Linked DNA regions of Pelodiscus sinensis. The protein of the gene in region 2 purifies or fractionates together with the protein of the main gene of each other region. This does not show direct contact. Links are inferred from orthologs where the notes say so. Each region holds a gene or a part of one and is shown on either strand. Other genes may lie near its edges.

The links.
Region 1: the proteins of MAX (region 2) and MNT purify together in Homo sapiens (affinity purification with mass spectrometry; 7 studies listed by BioGRID and IntAct, with this or other methods). This does not show direct contact. The link is inferred for Pelodiscus sinensis from reciprocal best matches to the Homo sapiens genes MAX and MNT.

Annotation. Positions count from the first base shown.
Region 1 is NC_134731.1:11,654,199-11,662,916, forward strand, and holds the start of MNT (max-binding protein MNT), read right to left. Parts: upstream 4,175-8,718; 5' UTR 3,986-4,174; coding exon 3,913-3,985; intron 1-3,912. UniProt on the Homo sapiens protein: Binds DNA as a heterodimer with MAX and represses transcription. Binds to the canonical E box sequence 5'-CACGTG-3' and, with higher affinity, to 5'-CACGCG-3'.
Region 2 is NC_134714.1:129,402,884-129,411,744, forward strand, and holds the start of MAX (protein max), read right to left. Parts: upstream 4,167-8,861; 5' UTR 4,014-4,166; coding exon 3,978-4,013; intron 3,899-3,977; coding exon 3,872-3,898; intron 1-3,871. UniProt on the Homo sapiens protein: Transcription regulator. Forms a sequence-specific DNA-binding protein complex with MYC or MAD which recognizes the core sequence 5'-CAC[GA]TG-3'. The MYC:MAX complex is a transcriptional activator, whereas the MAD:MAX complex is a repressor.

The DNA.
Region 1 (8,718 bases), on a different chromosome or scaffold from region 2:
AACGTGGTATTGTTTTGCGCAAAAAAGCCCCGATCGCAAAAATGGCGATCGGGGCTTTCTTGAGCAAAACCGCGTCTAGATTGGCACGGACACTTTTCCGCAAACAGTGCTTTTGCGGAAAAGTGTCCGTGCCAATCTAGACGCTCTTTTCCGCAAATGCTTTTAACGGAAAAACTTTTCCGTTAAAAGCATTTGCGGAAAATCATGCCAGTCTAGACGTAGCCCCTGTGTCTCTGACCTGGTCTCCTTTCACGTGGACTCTCCCTTGCCACGTGACCTCCCTATTCTGCCAGCATGGAGACCTCCTCTCTTAGCACCAGTAGTAAATATTTCTAGTGTGGTAGCACCCCAAGAGCCCACTCAGGATCAGGCGCCAGCAAGCAGAGAAAAAGACCATCCCTGCCCCCAAAGGGCTTACAGACTTAAGAAGGCACCCCTGTGCTTGGTCATGGCACTCTTTGTGCTTGGAAAGCCCCCTCTGGCCCTGTCTGCTTAATCACCTTCCTCAAGCTCTGTTCCGCCACAAACCCTGTTTTTAACAAATGTCCCCTGCAGCTAACAAGCTGCGTGACCGGAGTCATTCTTGTTCCTGCTCTCTCATGCAATCCCCACCTGCTCCTGTGTGCCTGTGACATTCCTTTGTTGTGTCTTGCTGACCTCACCTTGCCAGACACAGCTGGGACCCTACCACTACTTGTTCTGCGCTATGCCTCCCATATTTTGGGGCACCTGAGAAATTATCGTCCCATGCATGCCTGCCACCACGTCTCACATATTTCATCTCTTCTATTTCTAGGGTGCACTTGCTGTGGAGCTAGGAACATTAACACTAACCAGGGAGCAAGTTGGAATATGGAGGCTGTAAAACCATCATCTTAAATGTGCACATGGATTTTTTTTAAAAAAAATTCATCCTAAAGCTTCAGTTTACAGGTACAACTCCCAGCTTCAGCGATGACATTAGCTCTGGCTCGGAAGACGACATGTTAGCCCACTAGCCTACACTGATGATTTTTCCTTCTTAGTTAACCAGAAAGCTGTCTGGTCTTTCATGTCTCCAAGCTGCCTTTCTTCACCACATCCACTATCTCCTGCATGACTCATCAGTGAAACAATAGATTTTCGTCTGCATCCCACAGCAATGACATACAAAGAGAGCTGTTCCTTCTTGCTTTTGCAGCAGGTAGTGTCACTGAGCTAATGCTGCATTATCGCTCCAACTGCTTTGACAACACACACATAAAATGAATAAATAAAAAGGGGAATCCCAAAATGCAACTGTAATATTTTCAAGCACCTTTGCTTGATTAGAATTAATTGAAAGCCCACTTACTGTATTAATGCACTGCTAATCTAGCCACACATAGATACACACTTAATCTCGTTTTGAAAAGGTTACACTTGTTACAGAAAAAGTGAATGATGCCAGGGTTAAGGTTGATAGCAAGTTCGGCGATCAATCAGGAAAGATGGCATTCTTGCCAAGTAGCCAGGTATCATCCGCACCTACAACTATGCTACCATGTGATGAAAAGATAACAGGTTGGAAGTGGGGATGCCTAACCCTATGGTACCTCCTGCAGGAGGTCTAATCCTGCCCATACACTCCCACTATTATGAATGCCAATAAAAGTCCTGGGTTCATTTTTTATTTGGCACATCTTGATACAGGCCAATATCTAAAACTCAAGTAGACTGAGATTTCCACATCCACTCCACCAAAAATATCCCCACAAAGGAAGAATTGGAGAGAGAGAGAGAGAGAGAGAGAGAGAGAGAGACACACACACACACACACACACACACACACACACACACACACACATGCAGCAGCACCCAGAATGATGATTTTAAAACTACCCTTCTCGTCTTGATCAAAACATTGCAGGCATCTCCCTGCAAGCCAGTGGGAATTGGAAGACAGATTGATGCACCTAAAAGCCTGCCTTTGTGTAGCACAGTGAAGGACAACTTAGGCTAGTGAGTGGGCCGCATGAGCAGCCCTCCTTCATCTCAGCGAGCCACAAGATAGTGGTAACCAAGACCGTCTCCTGGGACAGGGTATTTTAGCCAAGTGTACTTGTGCACTTAGGATATGTGGGATGGGCCGACTGAATTGTAGCACCACTTTGATTCAATGCAGAGGGAGTGCGTGGTTCTCACACTCAGCTTTGTGTGAAATCAGCACGCCCCTCACTTTGTGTGCCCTTCAAGTTTAAAAAACTAGGTGGGCAAAAACCAGCAGACTCTGGCAACCCGGTGCCCAGGCAACGGTAAACAAAAACACCTCATGGGCCACACACGGCCCAGTGGGCTGCAAGTGGCTGACTTCTGGATGGCATACAGTGAATGTCACCACAACCTAAGAAATGAAATAATCACCACTCTAGTGCACACCCCTTACTATCTGCAGGATGAAGATCACATGGGGAGGGGGGAGGGAGATAAGCTGGAGGGAAAATACCGAAGTACAGTTCTTGCTGCTCTATTTTTAATCCCATATATACTATAAACTCCTGGGGGTGCAGCCTGGTTCTTCCTGCAGCAAGAGATGCCCGGATAAACTGCACTGGCACATGAATGAGCAGACCAGCAGCAGGGTGTAAATTATTCTTTAACCCCCCCCCCCCTTGCACTTCTGACTCCTCCCCCTCCCCGGAATGGAGCAGCCCTTCCCCCACCGGGCACACACTCCCCGCTCAGAACGAAAGCACAGCTGTGGCCCAACCCAACAAAAGCCCCACAGGGAGTGTCGGCGGCGCACGTGGTAGAGGGCGGGGCCTGACACGTCATTCCCCCCCCCCCCCCAATGGAACGCACTAGTTTGGAACGCGGCGAGCCAGCAGCACCCTAGATTCCAAATGCGAAAGGAAAGGCATCCCAGCCTTGGCCTGATCCTTCCCCCCCCCCGCAGACGGAATCAGGGCTCTCCCCACCCACCCCATCCCACCATTGGCGGGGGGGAGGAAGGAGAACCACCCAAGGTTCCCCTCTGCACATTTCCAGGAAGGCAGACACACAAAAAAGGGAGGGAGGGAGGAACTGTGTGGCGTGTATCATATGACACTCGATGTCATTTCATTATGCAAAAAGCAACCTCCCCTCGCTCAGCTCTGCTGGAGAACTGCCACCGCCCTAAGCCCTGAAATATAGATTTTTTTTCCCCCACAAGGAACAAAAAAAAGCCATGCACACGTTAAATAGAACAAGGATCATTCTAAGAATTCAACTGCAAAGCAAATCTATGAAGGCAGATTTAGGGGGGGTCATTTTGGCGCATAACTACTCCCTCCCAACCCACCAGCAGAGATACACATTCTTAACACAGCTTTATGTTCTGACCCAAAAAATAAGGCTTCGGTGATTCTTCCTTTCTGAACACGATCGTTTTCACCATTTCAGCAAAGAAAAAAAAAAGTGCTTTGGCAGACTCCCCTCCTACGAGTAAGAGTCTGTGCATTGTACATACATACAGATGAATGAGAGAGGAAAGGTGAGAGACAGCTAATCTTCCGGAAAACCAAGCCTCTCCGATCGCCCACAAGCATGTGTCAGCACATCGCTACTAAATGCTCCACTCCATCCCAAATTAAAGACTTGCCTGGTCCAGAGCTGATTCCCAAGGCTAAAGGGAGGCTGGTTTATCTCCAAGCCCCTTTGCAATCATTCCATAGAATGATTTGGAACGGACTGCAGACCGTGCTTTTTTCTTACAAAATCCGCTTTGGAAGCAAGGGGTACCCTCCACCCGCCTCAGACCCAGTCGGTAACACGCAGTGCAGCGGCGGGTGGCTGAAAGTAAGGCTGCTTTCTTCTAAAAATAAAGACTATATTTCCCCCCGCTTTGGGGAAATGGTGTCCTGTGTCTTTAAACCGCTCTAATTCCGATTTTACATGCTGTCCCCCCCTTACCACGTGTTTTCTGTTGTTGCTGGGCTTGCCATTCCAGAAATCTGGCCGCTTCCAAAAGCGTCTCAATGCTCATCTCTTGGGTTGCCTTTCAGTGGAGGATCCAAAATCTTGGAGACTTAAAAAAACCGGGAGGTCTCCTTCTTCTTTTCTTCTCCCAAGTCAAAATGCCTGATCAAACCACCCCCCCACCCCCGATCCCCTGCGAATCTTCCAGACAAGAAAAGGGTTTGCAACAAGATGGCGATGAGTATGTAACAGAAACACAACAAGAAAAAAGGCCTAACACTGCCCTCGGCTACTATACAGACAGCTGCAGACAAAACCCAGCCTGGATCGGTGTAGGTCACTGGATTGGAACTCGTCAATGCCATTTTGCAGGGGTGGAGTTTAACCACTGCAGGTTTGAGTGAAAACTCTTGCTACAAAAGGGAGCAGATCGGCCAAGGCTCTTATTTGGGATCAATTAAATGTGTTTTTTTTTTAATTCTCCTTTTCTTGATGGATTTGAGTGAGTCACTCAAACGGTCAGATAAGACTATCTTCATGGAACTTTGTTCTAACTTAGTTGTGAACTATCTATCACTAATCAAATAGAATGGGGGGGTAAAATATTTAAATAAATACAAATAAATAAATCAAACACATCTATCTACACTTTAATCCAAAAAGATTCTGTCTCACAAATTAGACTGGCTTTGGTCTGCATGTTACCGACTGGGTCTGAGCAGGTGGAGGGTACCCCTTGCTTTCAATATAATTATTAATTATAATAATTATAGATGGGGGAGGGGAAATTAGGTCATTTTGCTCTCTGTTCTCTTTCCCTGCAGTATTGTTGCCCACAGAATATTTCCGGTCAGCAACCTCAGGTGTTGCAGTTATTATTTATTGGGACCTGATTGTTCAGTGGGGTTAAGTACCTCCAGCTCTGGTGTTAAGAACTTCATCTGGATTTATGGGTGCTTCACACTGCTGAAAACCAGGACCTAAATAAGATACAGCCCTGGTGTCCAACCAGTTATATAGCAATCTAGCCCCACTCAACTGGTCAAACAGCCACATTGTTCAAGCCAACTAGCTACACTTTACCAGCCAAGTAGTCACATGGGGCTAGTGTGTTGGACACCCTGGCTTACACAAATCAGTCACCTGACATTTTATTAACACAAACTGACAGAGATCTTAGAATTTCCACATCAGCTGATTTTTCTCTTCTTTCATGAATTATTTGAAAATACCTCTAACTGTAATAGAAGTCAGTATGAATGACAGGTCTTTCATAAAAACAAAAGAGTGGTGTTTCATAAAAACATGAGTGGTGTGGAGAGGGCCTATAAAGAAAAGTTATTTATTAGTTCCCTAAATAGAAGAACTAGAGGACACCAAATGAAATTAATGGGTAGCAGGTTTAAAACTAATAAAAGAAAGTTCTTCTTCACACAGCGTGTAGTCAACCTGTGGAACTCCTTGCCAGAGGAGGCTGTGAAGGCTAGGACTATAATAGAGTTTAAAGAGAAGCTAGATAATTTCATGGAGGCTAGGTCCATAAAAGGCTATTAGCCAGGGGATAAAATGGTGTCCTTGGCCTCTGTTTGTCAGAGGCTGGAGAGAAATGGCAGGAGACAAATCGCTTGATCATTGTCTTCGGTCCACCCTCTCTGGGGTACCTGGTGCTGGCCACCGTTGGTAGACAGGATACTGGGCTTGAAGGACCTTTGGTCTGACCCAGTACGACCGTTCTTATGTTCTTATATAACCATGACAATGATGCAGTTACTGGTTCTGCAAGACCGCCCTTTGCTCAATATTCAGCACTAGGTTCCTAGAAAGAGGAAGGGTATTGTCCCATCACATCAGTATGAACTTTGCAAATGGGAATGTACAGGGTAGATGAAACAGAAGAGAACATGTGATCATAATTATTCATATATGCCTGTAGCTATCATTGAAAACAAATAAGGTTCCATGTGTAATTCAGGACAAGATAAATTATGTAAATGGAAAAGGCCAAATAGATCACTGAATTCACTTCCTGCCCTTGCAGCACAGGAAGGTAAGTATACACAACAGGGTACAAATACCCATTAAGGCTACATCAGATGTTTCTGCAGGGCAAAAAAGAAACCCACATTTATTTTTACAGACAGGCTTGTTTTCAGTTGCTGAGTGCCAGTTTCTTTTACTTGGTTCGTTCCTGGGAAGGAGGGGTGCCTCTTGCTTTGCGATTACTTTGACAGAGAACGAGACAACTCCATGAGTTGCATGCACTATTATTTTGTACTAAATGATACCCCAGGTCTGGTTGCAAGAGGATGAGAGGTGAGTCCTGGCGCCGGGTTTTCCACCTGCTCCTCCCCCCGCAGTGCGTTTGCATCCGATTACAATATGTCATCCTGCCCCGAGCCAATCCGCTTGGAAAACAACAAGGCATGGAGCAGCTCCACATGGGCACCCTGCTCCGTCTGCCTCCGACGGCGTCTCCTTTAAAGGGCCAGCCACCCTCGGAGTTTCCCCAGCAGCCATGAACAGCGCACTAGAAGAGGAGGAGGGCACGTTACCCCCGGTGAACCCTGATGGCTGCGCCTCCATCAGTGTGCCACCGGGAGAGGGTTTTTCCTTCCCACGCTCCTGGGACGGAGATTCGCACCCGCAGGGGGCCTCGAAGAAAGGGGGAGGCTGCGGCTGAATGAAACAGCCTAAAATGCTCTGAACACGGCGCTCCCGGGAGATGTTTCAGCCAGGGTCAGAAAACTGCAGGGCGCGGGAAGGGGAGGTCCCCGCAGCCAACGGGGCGCGCTGCGTTGGTTACGGAGCCAAAGGAATTACCTCCAATCCAGGGCACCCGGCCGCCGAGCAAGTCGGCGGCAGCCCCGCGGGCTGCGAGATGCACCGGGAGCTGCTGCAACATGGAGCCCCGAAGGCTGTAAAATACCCGGCCGAGCCCAGACACCCGGCGCCCTGGGGTGCGCTCCCCCTACCCCGCAGCGGACGCGCTCTCGGTTCCATGCGCCCACGGAATCGGTGCTTTCCCGTGCGCTGCGCAAGGCATCGTATGGGGGAGAGGGGGTTCAGCGGGCTGTAGTCCGGGGGGTGCTCACACTGAACACCTATGCCGCGAACGGTGCTGGGGGCACAGCGCCAGGTGCGTTAACCTCGGGGACGGCTCCCTTTGACGTTAGGCGATCGGCAATCCCAGGAGAGAGGAAGGCCCCTCCCGCTCCCTTGCAGGTGTTTGATCCCTGGGGGGAGGGTGTATTTGCGAGGATCAAGCAGCCACGCACGCCCCAGCGGGCAGGCTCAGCGTGATGCCTATGGCCCAAAAAGCGCCCAGATCAGCCTCCCCGCTGCACAGTCTCCCCAAGCCCTTGGCCCCAGTTTTTGCCCGCACTGGCTTTCTCCCAGCCTCGTGATGGATGTTGCTGGCGGAGGCTGCTGCATTTGGAGGATGGAGGAGGAAGAGGTGGGGGGGGGGGTGCAGGCGGGGGGAGGAGGGGAAAGGCAAAGCCGCCTCTTCTGCGGCGTTTCACCCTCCCCAGTAAATCAGGCAACCCAACGTGGAGGGGGGCGGAGCTCCGGGCCTTACACCAGCCGCCTGATCTGGCAGAGGGAGGCGGAGCACAGTCACCTCGGGCAGGATAATCTGTCTAGTCATGGCTTGCGCTGGCCAAGCCTGCTCCTTAAAGGGCCCGTGCGCCATTTCTCCCAGGGCCCCGCCGGGGAAACACGTGAGGCGGCTCGACAGGGAAGTTCGCGCAGCGCAGGGGAAAATGGAGCTGGCTCTGCCCTGCCTTTCAATACAGGGAGTTCCCTGGCGTGATTCATCCCTGCACAGAGAAGGGAAAGCAGCCTGCGAGCGCCACAGGTGGTGTAAAAAAATCAGCACCAAAGGCTTAAAAAATAAAGGCCTGATCTTGCAAAGCACCATCACTCAGCTCCACTTGTTTTAGAACATAACAGCCACTAGACTGGGTCAAACTAACAAGCCATCTAGCCCAGTGTTTCTCAACCTTTTTTTGTATAAAGTAGCCATCACTGGATAGTTCTCTGAAAACATCCACTCAATGTGCAGCGGCAGTCAAAAAAGCAAATAGAATGTTAGGAATCATTAAAAAGGGGATAGAGAGAGATCTTGCAAAATTAGTCCCCATCATATTGTATGTATAGTTGGGATTATTTTTTCCAATGTGCATTACTTTACATTTATCAACATTACATTTCATTTGCCAGTTTGTTGCCCAGTCACTTAGTTTGGTGAGATCTTTTCGAAGCGCTTCACAGTTTGCTTTGGTCTTAACTATCTTGAGCAGTTTGGTATCATCTGCAAATTTTGCCATCTCACTGTTTACCCCTCTCTCTAGATCATGTATAAATAAGTTGAATAGAATTGGTCTCAGGACAGACCCTTGGGGGACCCCGTTAGTTACCTCTCTCCACTCTGAAAACTAACCATTTATTCCCACACTTTGCTTCCTGTCTTTTAACCAGTTATCAATCCATGAAAGGACCTTCCCACTTATCCCATGACAACTTACTTTACTTAAGAGCCTTTAGTGAGAGGCCTTGTCAAAGACTTTCTGGAAATCTAAGTACAGTATCTTCACTGGATCCCCCTTGTCCACATTTTTGCTGACCCCCCTCAAAGAACTCTAGCAGATTAGTAAGGCACCCTCTTCAGTGAGGATGCCTGCTAAGCTCCCATGTTCCCTCGAATCTTTTCCACCCATGTGTGGATTTTTCCATCCATGTGCAGAATAATTTTTTTGTGTGCACTGAGGCATGTGCATCTCCAGCAGAAACAAAACCTAC
Region 2 (8,861 bases):
ATCCCAGATCTCCCTACACATCTCCCTGCCTGCATCGCCTGATACCAGCTCGCCCTGGATCCCGGATCCCCCTACACATCTCCCTTCCTGCATCGCCTGATACCAACTCGCCCTGGATCCCAGATCTCCCTACACATCTCCCTGCCTGCATCGCCTGATACCGGCTCGCCCTGGGTCCCAGATCCCCCTACACATCGCCTGATACCGGCTCTCCTGGATCCCAGATCCCCTCTACACATCTCCCTGCCTGCATCGCCTGATACCGGCTCTCCTGGGTCCCGGATCCGCCTACACATCTCCCTGCCTGCATCGCCTGATACCGGCTCTCCTGGGTCCCGGACCCCCCTACACATCTCCCTGCCTGCATCGCCTGATACCGGCTCTCCTGGGTCCCGGATCCCCCTACACATCTCCCTGCCTGCATCGCCTGATACCGGCTCGCCTGGGTCCCGGATCCCCCTACACATCTCCCTTCCTGCATCGCCTGATACCAACTCGCCCTGGATCCCAGATCTCCCTACACATCTCCCTGCCTGCATCGCCTGATACCAGCTCGCCCTGGATCCCGGATCCCCCTACACATCTCCCTTCCTGCATCGCCTGATACCAACTCGCCCTGGATCCCAGATCTCCCTACACATCTCCCTGCCTGCATCGCCTGATACCAGCTCGCCCTGGATCCCGGATCCCCCTACACATCTCCCTGCCTGCATCGCCTGATACCAGCTCGCCTGGGTCCCGGATCCCCCTACACATCTCCCTGCCTGCATCGCCTGATACCGGCTCTCCTGGGTCCCGGATCCCCCTACACATCTCCCTTCCTGCATCGCCTGATACCGGCTCGCCTGGGTCCCGGATCCCCCTACACATCTCCCTGCCTGCATCGCCTGATACCGGCTCTCCTGGGTCCCGGATCCCCCTACACATCTCCCTGCCTGCATCGCCTGATACCGGCTCGCCTGGGTCCCGGATCCCCCTACACATCTCCCTGCCTGCATCGCCTGATACCGGCTCGCCTGGATCCCGGACCCCCCTACACATCGCCTGATACCGGCTCGCCCTGGATCCCAGATCCCCCTACACATCGCCTGATACCGGCTCTCCTGGGTCCCGGACCCCCCTGCACATCGCCTGATACCGGCTCTCCTGGGTCCCGGACCCCCCTGCACATCGCCTGATACCGGCTCTCCTGGGTCCCGGACCCCCCTGCACATCGCCTGATACCGGCTCTCCTGGGTCCCGGACCCCCCTACACATCGCCTGATACCGGCTCTCCTGGGTCCCGGACCACCCTACACATCGCCTGATACCGGCTCTCCTGGGTCCCGGATCCCCCTACACATCGCCTGATACCGGCTCTCCTGGGTCCCGGACCCCCCTACACATCGCCTGATACCGGCTCGCCTGGGTCCCGGATCCCCCTGCACATCGCCTGATACTGGCTCTCCTGGGTCCCGGATCCCCCTGCACATCGCCTGATACCGGCTCTCCTGGGTCCCGGACCCCCCTACACATCGCCTGATACCGGCTCGCCTGGGTCCCGGATCCCCCTACACATCGCCTGATACCGGCTCTCCTGGGTCCCGGACCCCCCTGCACATCGCCTGATACCGGCTCTCCTGGGTCCCGGATCCCCCTACACATCGCCTGATACCGGCTCGCCTGGGTCCCGGATCCCCCTACACATCGCCTGATACCGGCTCTCCTGGGTCCCGGACCCCCCTACCCATCGCCTGATACCGGCTCTCATGGGTCCCGGATCCCCCTACACATCGCCTGATACCGGCTCGCCTGGGTCCCGGACCCCCCTACACATCGCCTGATACCGGCTCTCCTGGGTCCCGGATCCCCCTGCACATCGCCTGATACCGGCTCTCCTGGGTCCCGGACCCCCCTGCACATCGCCTGATACCGGCTCTCCTGGGTCCCGGACCCCCCTGCACATCGCCTGATACCGGCTCTCCTGGGTCCCGGACCCCCCTGCACATCGCCTGATACCGGCTCTCCTGGGTCCCGGACCCCCCTGCACATCGCCTGATACCGGCTCTCCTGGGTCCCGGATCCCCCTACACATCGCCTGATACCGGCTCTCCTGGGTCCCGGACCCCCCTGCACATCGCCTGATACCGGCTCTCCTGGGTCCCGGACCCCCCTACACATCGCCTGATACCGGCTCTCCTGGGTCCCGGACCCCCCTACACATCGCCTGATACCGGCTCTCCTGGGTCCCGGACCCCCCTGCACATCGCCTGATACCGGCTCTCATGGGTCCCGGACCCCCCTGCACATCGCCTGATACCGGCTCGCCTGGGTCCCGGACCCCCCTGCACATCGCCTGATACCGGCTCTCCTGGGTCCCGGATCCCCCTGCACATCGCCTGATACCGGCTCGCCTGGGTCCCGGACCCCCCTACACATCGCCTGATACCGGCTCTCATGGGTCCCGGACCCCCCTGCACATCGCCTGATACCGGCTCTCCTGGGTCCCGGATCCCCCTGCACATCGCCTGATACCGGCTCTCCTGGGTCCCGGACCCCCCTACACATCGCCTGATACCGGCTCTCATGGGTCCCGGACCCCCCTGCACATCGCCTGATACCGGCTCGCCTGGGTCCCGGACCCCCCTACACATCGCCTGATACCGGCTCTCCTGGGTCCCGGATCCCCCTGCACATCGCCTGATACCGGCTCTGCTGGGTCCCGGACCCCCCTGCACATCGCCTGATACCGGCTCTCCTGGGTCCCGGACCCCCCTGCACATCGCCTGATACCGGCTCTCCTGGGTCCCGGACCCCCCTACACATCGCCTGATACCGGCTCTCCTGGGTCCCGGACCCCCCTGCACATCGCCTGATACCGGCTCTCCTGGGTCCCGGACCCCCCTGCACATCGCCTGATACCGGCTCTCCTGGGTCCCGGACCCCCCTGCACATCGCCTGATACCGGCTCGCCTGGGTCCCGGACCCCCCTGCACATCGCCTGATACCGGCTCTCCTGGGTCCCGGACCCCCCTGCACATCGCCTGATACCGGCTCGCCTGGGTCCCGGACCCCCCTACACATCGCCTGATACCGGCTCTCCTGGGTCCCGGACCCCCCTACACATCGCCTGATACCGGCTCTGCTGGGTCCCGGACCCCCCTACACATCGCCTGATACCGGCTCGCCTGGGTCCCGGACCCCCCTACACATCGCCTGATACCGGCTCTCCTGGGTCCCGGATCCCCCTGCACATCGCCTGATACCGGCTCTGCTGGGTCCCGGACCCCCCTGCACATCGCCTGATACCGGCTCTCCTGGGTCCCGGACCCCCCTGCACATCGCCTGATACCGGCTCTCCTGGGTCCCGGACCCCCCTACACATCGCCTGATACCGGCTCTCCTGGGTCCCGGACCCCCCTGCACATCGCCTGATACCGGCTCTCCTGGGTCCCGGACCCCCCTGCACATCGCCTGATACCGGCTCTCCTGGGTCCCGGACCCCCCTGCACATCGCCTGATACCGGCTCGCCTGGGTCCCGGACCCCCCTGCACATCGCCTGATACCGGCTCTCCTGGGTCCCGGACCCCCCTGCACATCGCCTGATACCGGCTCGCCTGGGTCCCGGACCCCCCTACACATCGCCTGATACCGGCTCTCCTGGGTCCCGGACCCCCCTACACATCGCCTGATACCGGCTCTGCTGGGTCCCGGACCCCCCTACTCATCTCCCTGCCTGGACGCCAGCCCCGGCCGCTCACCCCCGTCCGCCCGGGATCACATGAGCCCAGCGCCAGCTGGGTCCGCTCCCCGGCCCGCCCGCGGCGCACTCGGCCTGCCCCCCCGGCGCTGGCGCTCGCGGGCCGGGCGGGGCGCGAAGGCAGCACGTACCGCAGACTGAAACCTCGGCTGCTCGTCCTGCAATAAGAGAGAGACAGAGACACTCGCGTTACTGGCGGGCGGCCGGCGGGCCGGGGGGGGCAGGGGCGCCACTCACGTCGCTCTCCACCTCGATGTCATCGTTGTCGCTCATGCTGCCGGGCCTCCGGGCGCGCCGAGCCGAGCCGAGCCGGGCGGGGCGCCACAACAACAGCCCGCACCGCGCAGCCGCCTCCCGCAGCCCCAGCCGCGCCGCCGCCGCCGCTGCCTGCTCCACCGTGCGCCGCCCCCCCCTCTCTCCCGGCCACGTGACCGCCAGCGCCGCCTCCCGCCGCGGGGCCTGCTGGGGGTTGGAGTCCGCCGCGCCGCGGCCGCCGAGCGGGAGGCCGGCGCCGCGCACTACAGCCCCCGGCGGGCCCCGCGCGCGGCCCCGCAGCCCCCGGCGCCGGCGCAGAGGCGGCGGCGCGGCGCACGCCGGGAGTTGTAGTCTCGGGCGAGGAGGAAGGGACTCGGCGGGGAAGAGGACACGTGGATGGGAGGCGGGGACTGCGCGGCTCCCCACCCTGCTCAGCACCTCCCGGGGGGGGGAGGGGCGGTGCTCAGGGCTGCTGCCCTACCTAGGGGGCGCGGAGCCCTCGCTGGGTGCCCCAGCCCCCCCCACCCTGCACAGCAATGGGGGTCTCCCAGGCGCCTGCCCACCAGGGGTCGGGTGGCCTGGCCAGGCAGCTGGTTTTTGGCTGGAGCGCCCGGCGGAAAGGCCCAGCCACCTGGGCGGTTACAAGTCGGGTGGGTAGCAGGGAGGGGGCCCAGCCCCCTTGGCTCCACCCAGCTCCCAGACCCCTGCGGCTCCTAGGCACGGGAAGGTGCGGTCCACAGCCTCTGCAGCTCCCAGTGGTCCCAGTTCCCGGCCAATGGGAGCGGCACAGCTGTCACTTGGCAACAGTTCCTGGCCAATGGGAGCTGCGGAGCTGTCACTAGTGGGTGGGGGGGCAGCGTGTGGAGTGCTGGCTCTGCAGCTCCCATTGGCTAGGAGCCATGACCACTGGAAGCTGCAGGGACAGCACTTTCGAGTGCTACTTCCTAGGAGCTGCAGCAGATGCTGCCAGGTCCAAATACCCCCGACTACCTCCCATATCCCAGCCCGGAGTCTCCTCCTGTACCCAAACTCCTTCCCAGAGCCCACGACCCTCACTCCCCCGCCATACCACAATCCTCTGTCCAAGTCCTGAGCCTCTTCCTGCATCCCGAGCCTCTCATCCCGTCACACCCAGAGCCTGCACCCTCAGCAGAGGCCCCTACCACACCTAGGGGGCACAGTATCTACATGAGGGGAGGGCCGTGGCCAAGGCTCTCTGCACCTAGAGGGCATAGACCCCACCAACTTCATAAGGAGGGCCCTCACACAACCCACGTGGATGGACAATGGCCAAGGCCTCTCCCCCCACTAAAGACATGCCCCGAATAGTGGCCCCTGACTTCAGACCCCACAATGCCCACACTGGGGTGGCTCTGCCCAGTGTCCCCAAAGACTGAACTGGGGGGGGATCCTGCCCAGGATTTATTTGGGGGCAGTTTTCTCCCCTTTTAGGCAGGAAGACACAATTGATTATCACAACCTTGGAATCTATGAATTAGTGAACTAGCAAGATTTAGACGGAGCCTGAATCCGTAGAGAGGCCAAGCCCGGACTGTCGGGGCAGTGTCCACAGTGAAAGAGAAAAGAGAAGTTGGCTTGGGGGGACGTCAGGCGCTCAGTTTGGGCCACGTTGATCCCTGGATCTCCATGTGAAGGTGTCGGAAAGATGGGCCCAGGTGCTGGTTTGGATAAAAAGGGGTAGCTCGTAAGGCAGGCGGGACAGTAGTGTGTGGGTGACTTTAGTATTTAGGACTGCAGTGCTGTGGGTGGGTCTGATGGCAGGACACAAATAAGGACAGCAAATCTATTTGCACTGGGTCAGCTGTGGAGGAGTCCTTTGAGAGGAGCTGGGTGGAGCCCTCCTCTGAATGGTGAATTCAAGGCCCCTTCATTTGTTTTGAAGTATGGAAGCGGGAGCATCCCTCAAATTCACAGCCAGTGCTGGGACCCAGCAGCAGGACTGGAGGAGAGGGAAAGTATGAGAGAGGCACAAATGAAGTAGGGGAGGCTCACTCAAGGAAGCCTGTGGAGACTCAAGGACTGAGGCTGAGCAAACTCCTCCATGCTGTGCACTGGATTTCAAACGTAGGGTTGCCACGTTGTCTGGGATTGGCCCAGACAGTCCTGTATTTGTGGCCTCTGTCTGATAAAAAAAAAAACAGAAAATACTGCACATGTAAAATGTCCGGTATTTTCTGTTTTTCTTGGATGGAAGGCTGCTTGGGACATTCCTCCCCTGCCGCATTTGGTGGGGGCAGGGGAGTGTGGGGATTTAAAGGTGCAGTGACTGGGCGGGGGGAGGTTGTGTGGTTTTTATTTTTTTTCCTGCCATGTTTGGTATTTTTTGTGAAAGTATCTGGCAACCCTCTGCCAATAACCCTGTCGTGTGTGTGTGTGTGTGTGTGTGTGTGTGTGTGTGTGTGTGTGTGTGTGTGTGTGTGTGTGTGTGTGTGTGTGTGTGTGAGAGAGAGAGAGAGAGAGAGAGTGTGTGTGTGTGTGTGAGAGAGTGAGTGAGAGAGAGAGAGAGAGAGAGAGATACAGTGGAAGCAAAATACTTATTCCCACAACCCAAACAATAATATCATCAAATCACAACAAAGAGCAAGACATGCTAGCTTAAACCTCATCACTTCAAGTTCCAATAGAATTAGACAAACTTAAAAAACAACAAAATAGTCCTGCAGCACCTGAAAGACTAACAAAACATGTAGATTGGATCATGAGCTTTCGTGGGCACAACCCACTTCTTCAGATGAAGTTGTGCCCACGAAAGCTCAGGATCTCATCTACATGTTTTGTTAGTCTTTCAGGTGCTGCCAGATTCTTTGTTGTTGTTTAAGTCTTTCCATTTACAGACTAACTTGGCTCCCCCTCTGAAGCTTTAGAAGTAGACAGTGACACTACTTGTAAAACATTTTTAAATACAGGAGAAATGCAGGAAAGTGGCTTTTCACTTACATAACGTGCTGGGTGGACCTACCTATTGATCAGGATCTTGGCCCAGTCTGGCTCAAAAGATGCACCTCAGGTGAGCTGTTGAGTCAGTTTCTTCCTTTTGTTTTTAACCTTGTCAAAGTTGAAAATCCCAGCGTGCATGGGTAGGCTGTTATGAATCATGACCACAACAGAACACTAATCTTACGTAACAGTGGATAGTCTTTGAAAACACTTATCCAAAATGATGACACATTTCAACGTCTGGTGGCATATTCTGAGTGTGTGATCACAGGTGCATTGCAGCAACTTTTTCTTGATCAGGAATCACATTTAGCTCCGTTACTGAGCCAGGATTTCCAAAAGCAGAAGGATCTTTCACCCAACGCGTTTCATTTCAATTTTCAAACCCTTCTGCTGGGAAACAGGTGACAAAAATTGTCAGAACAGTGAGATGTCACGATGTGACACTTTCCATTTCATTCGCTTTTTCTTCACTGATGCTGTTTTCCTCTGTGTGTCGTAACAGAGCTGGGAACATGTCATAGCTTGGGTGATTGTTTTTCAGGTGTGTTTGCCCCAGTGCTAATGTCTTTTGGAATGTGTGTATCTGCTCCCAGTTTCAAAATAAATAATTGCCTCCTCCTTGTATAGTCACATTCAGTTTGGTTAAAATTGAGAAAATGTCAGTGAGAGAGGACAACTTTATTAACCAACTGTCATCATGAAACACATTTGCCAAGTTTGTTTCTCTCCCCCAAAAAATATATAGCATGACTACACCATCTTTTTCCCTCCAAATACAATAAGAAATATTTATTGAACACTTGCCTTTTGTGCAAGTTTATTTATAACTAACAGTAATACCCGATGTCGCCCGGGGAAAATATAGTAAAAGGTGTGATGAATGAACTACGTCAATTATATTGGCCTCTCTACGGATTCAGGCTCCGTCTAAATCTTGCCAGTTCACTAATTCATTGAACTACGTCAATTATAGCATATTTGATTGGAAATACTTTTCTCTTAGGGTATGTCTACACTACCCCGCTAGTTCGAACTAGCGGGGTAATGTAGGCATACTGCACTTGCAAATGAAGCCCGGGATTTGAATTTCCCGGGCTTCATTTGCATAAACTGGGCGCCGCCATTTTTAAATCCCTGCTCGTTTGAACCCCGTGCAGCGCGGCTACACGCGGCATGAACTAGGTAGTTCGGACTAGGCTTCCTAGTCCGAACTACCGTTACTCCTCATTCCACGAGGATTTCGGAATATAACCAATCCTGTTATTTAAGTTAGGAAATCAGTAGTATCCATGCAAAATGTTGTATTTCTAGCTCTTACCGTTTCTGAGATGTTTTGGGACAAACAAACAAACACTTTCTAAAATATTTATAAGATTCTACCATTTCCATCTAGTAATGGACCAATACCATTGTTAGGATTCTTTTTGTTCCTAATGTACTTTTAAAATCTCCTTCTTTTTTTGTCCCGAACTCTCGCCCATAAAGGTCTCTTTGTGTCCCTTGGCTTCCCTTATCCATTTTCTACAATTCCTAGTTTCTGATTGTAGTCATTACTATCCACTTTTTTTCTTCCATCTGTTATATACCATTTTTATAGTTGCCTTCATTTCCTTTCTAAATCAGGTCATTTTTAAATAATGTGGTTTTCTTCCTTAATTTTGGCTTTTGGGGCATCTAGTAAAATGTTGTCATACAATTATCATTCATGTTTTTCTGATTAAAATCTTCCTCCCAGCTGATTTCACTTATAATTGTTTTCAGGTTTGTGAAACTGGCCCTTTTAAGGAAACTAATGTGTGTGTGTGTATATATATATATATATATATATATATATATATACACACACACACAGGGCTCGCCAAGCGGCAGCGAGCCCTACTCACCAGCTATGTGGAATCGCACGCT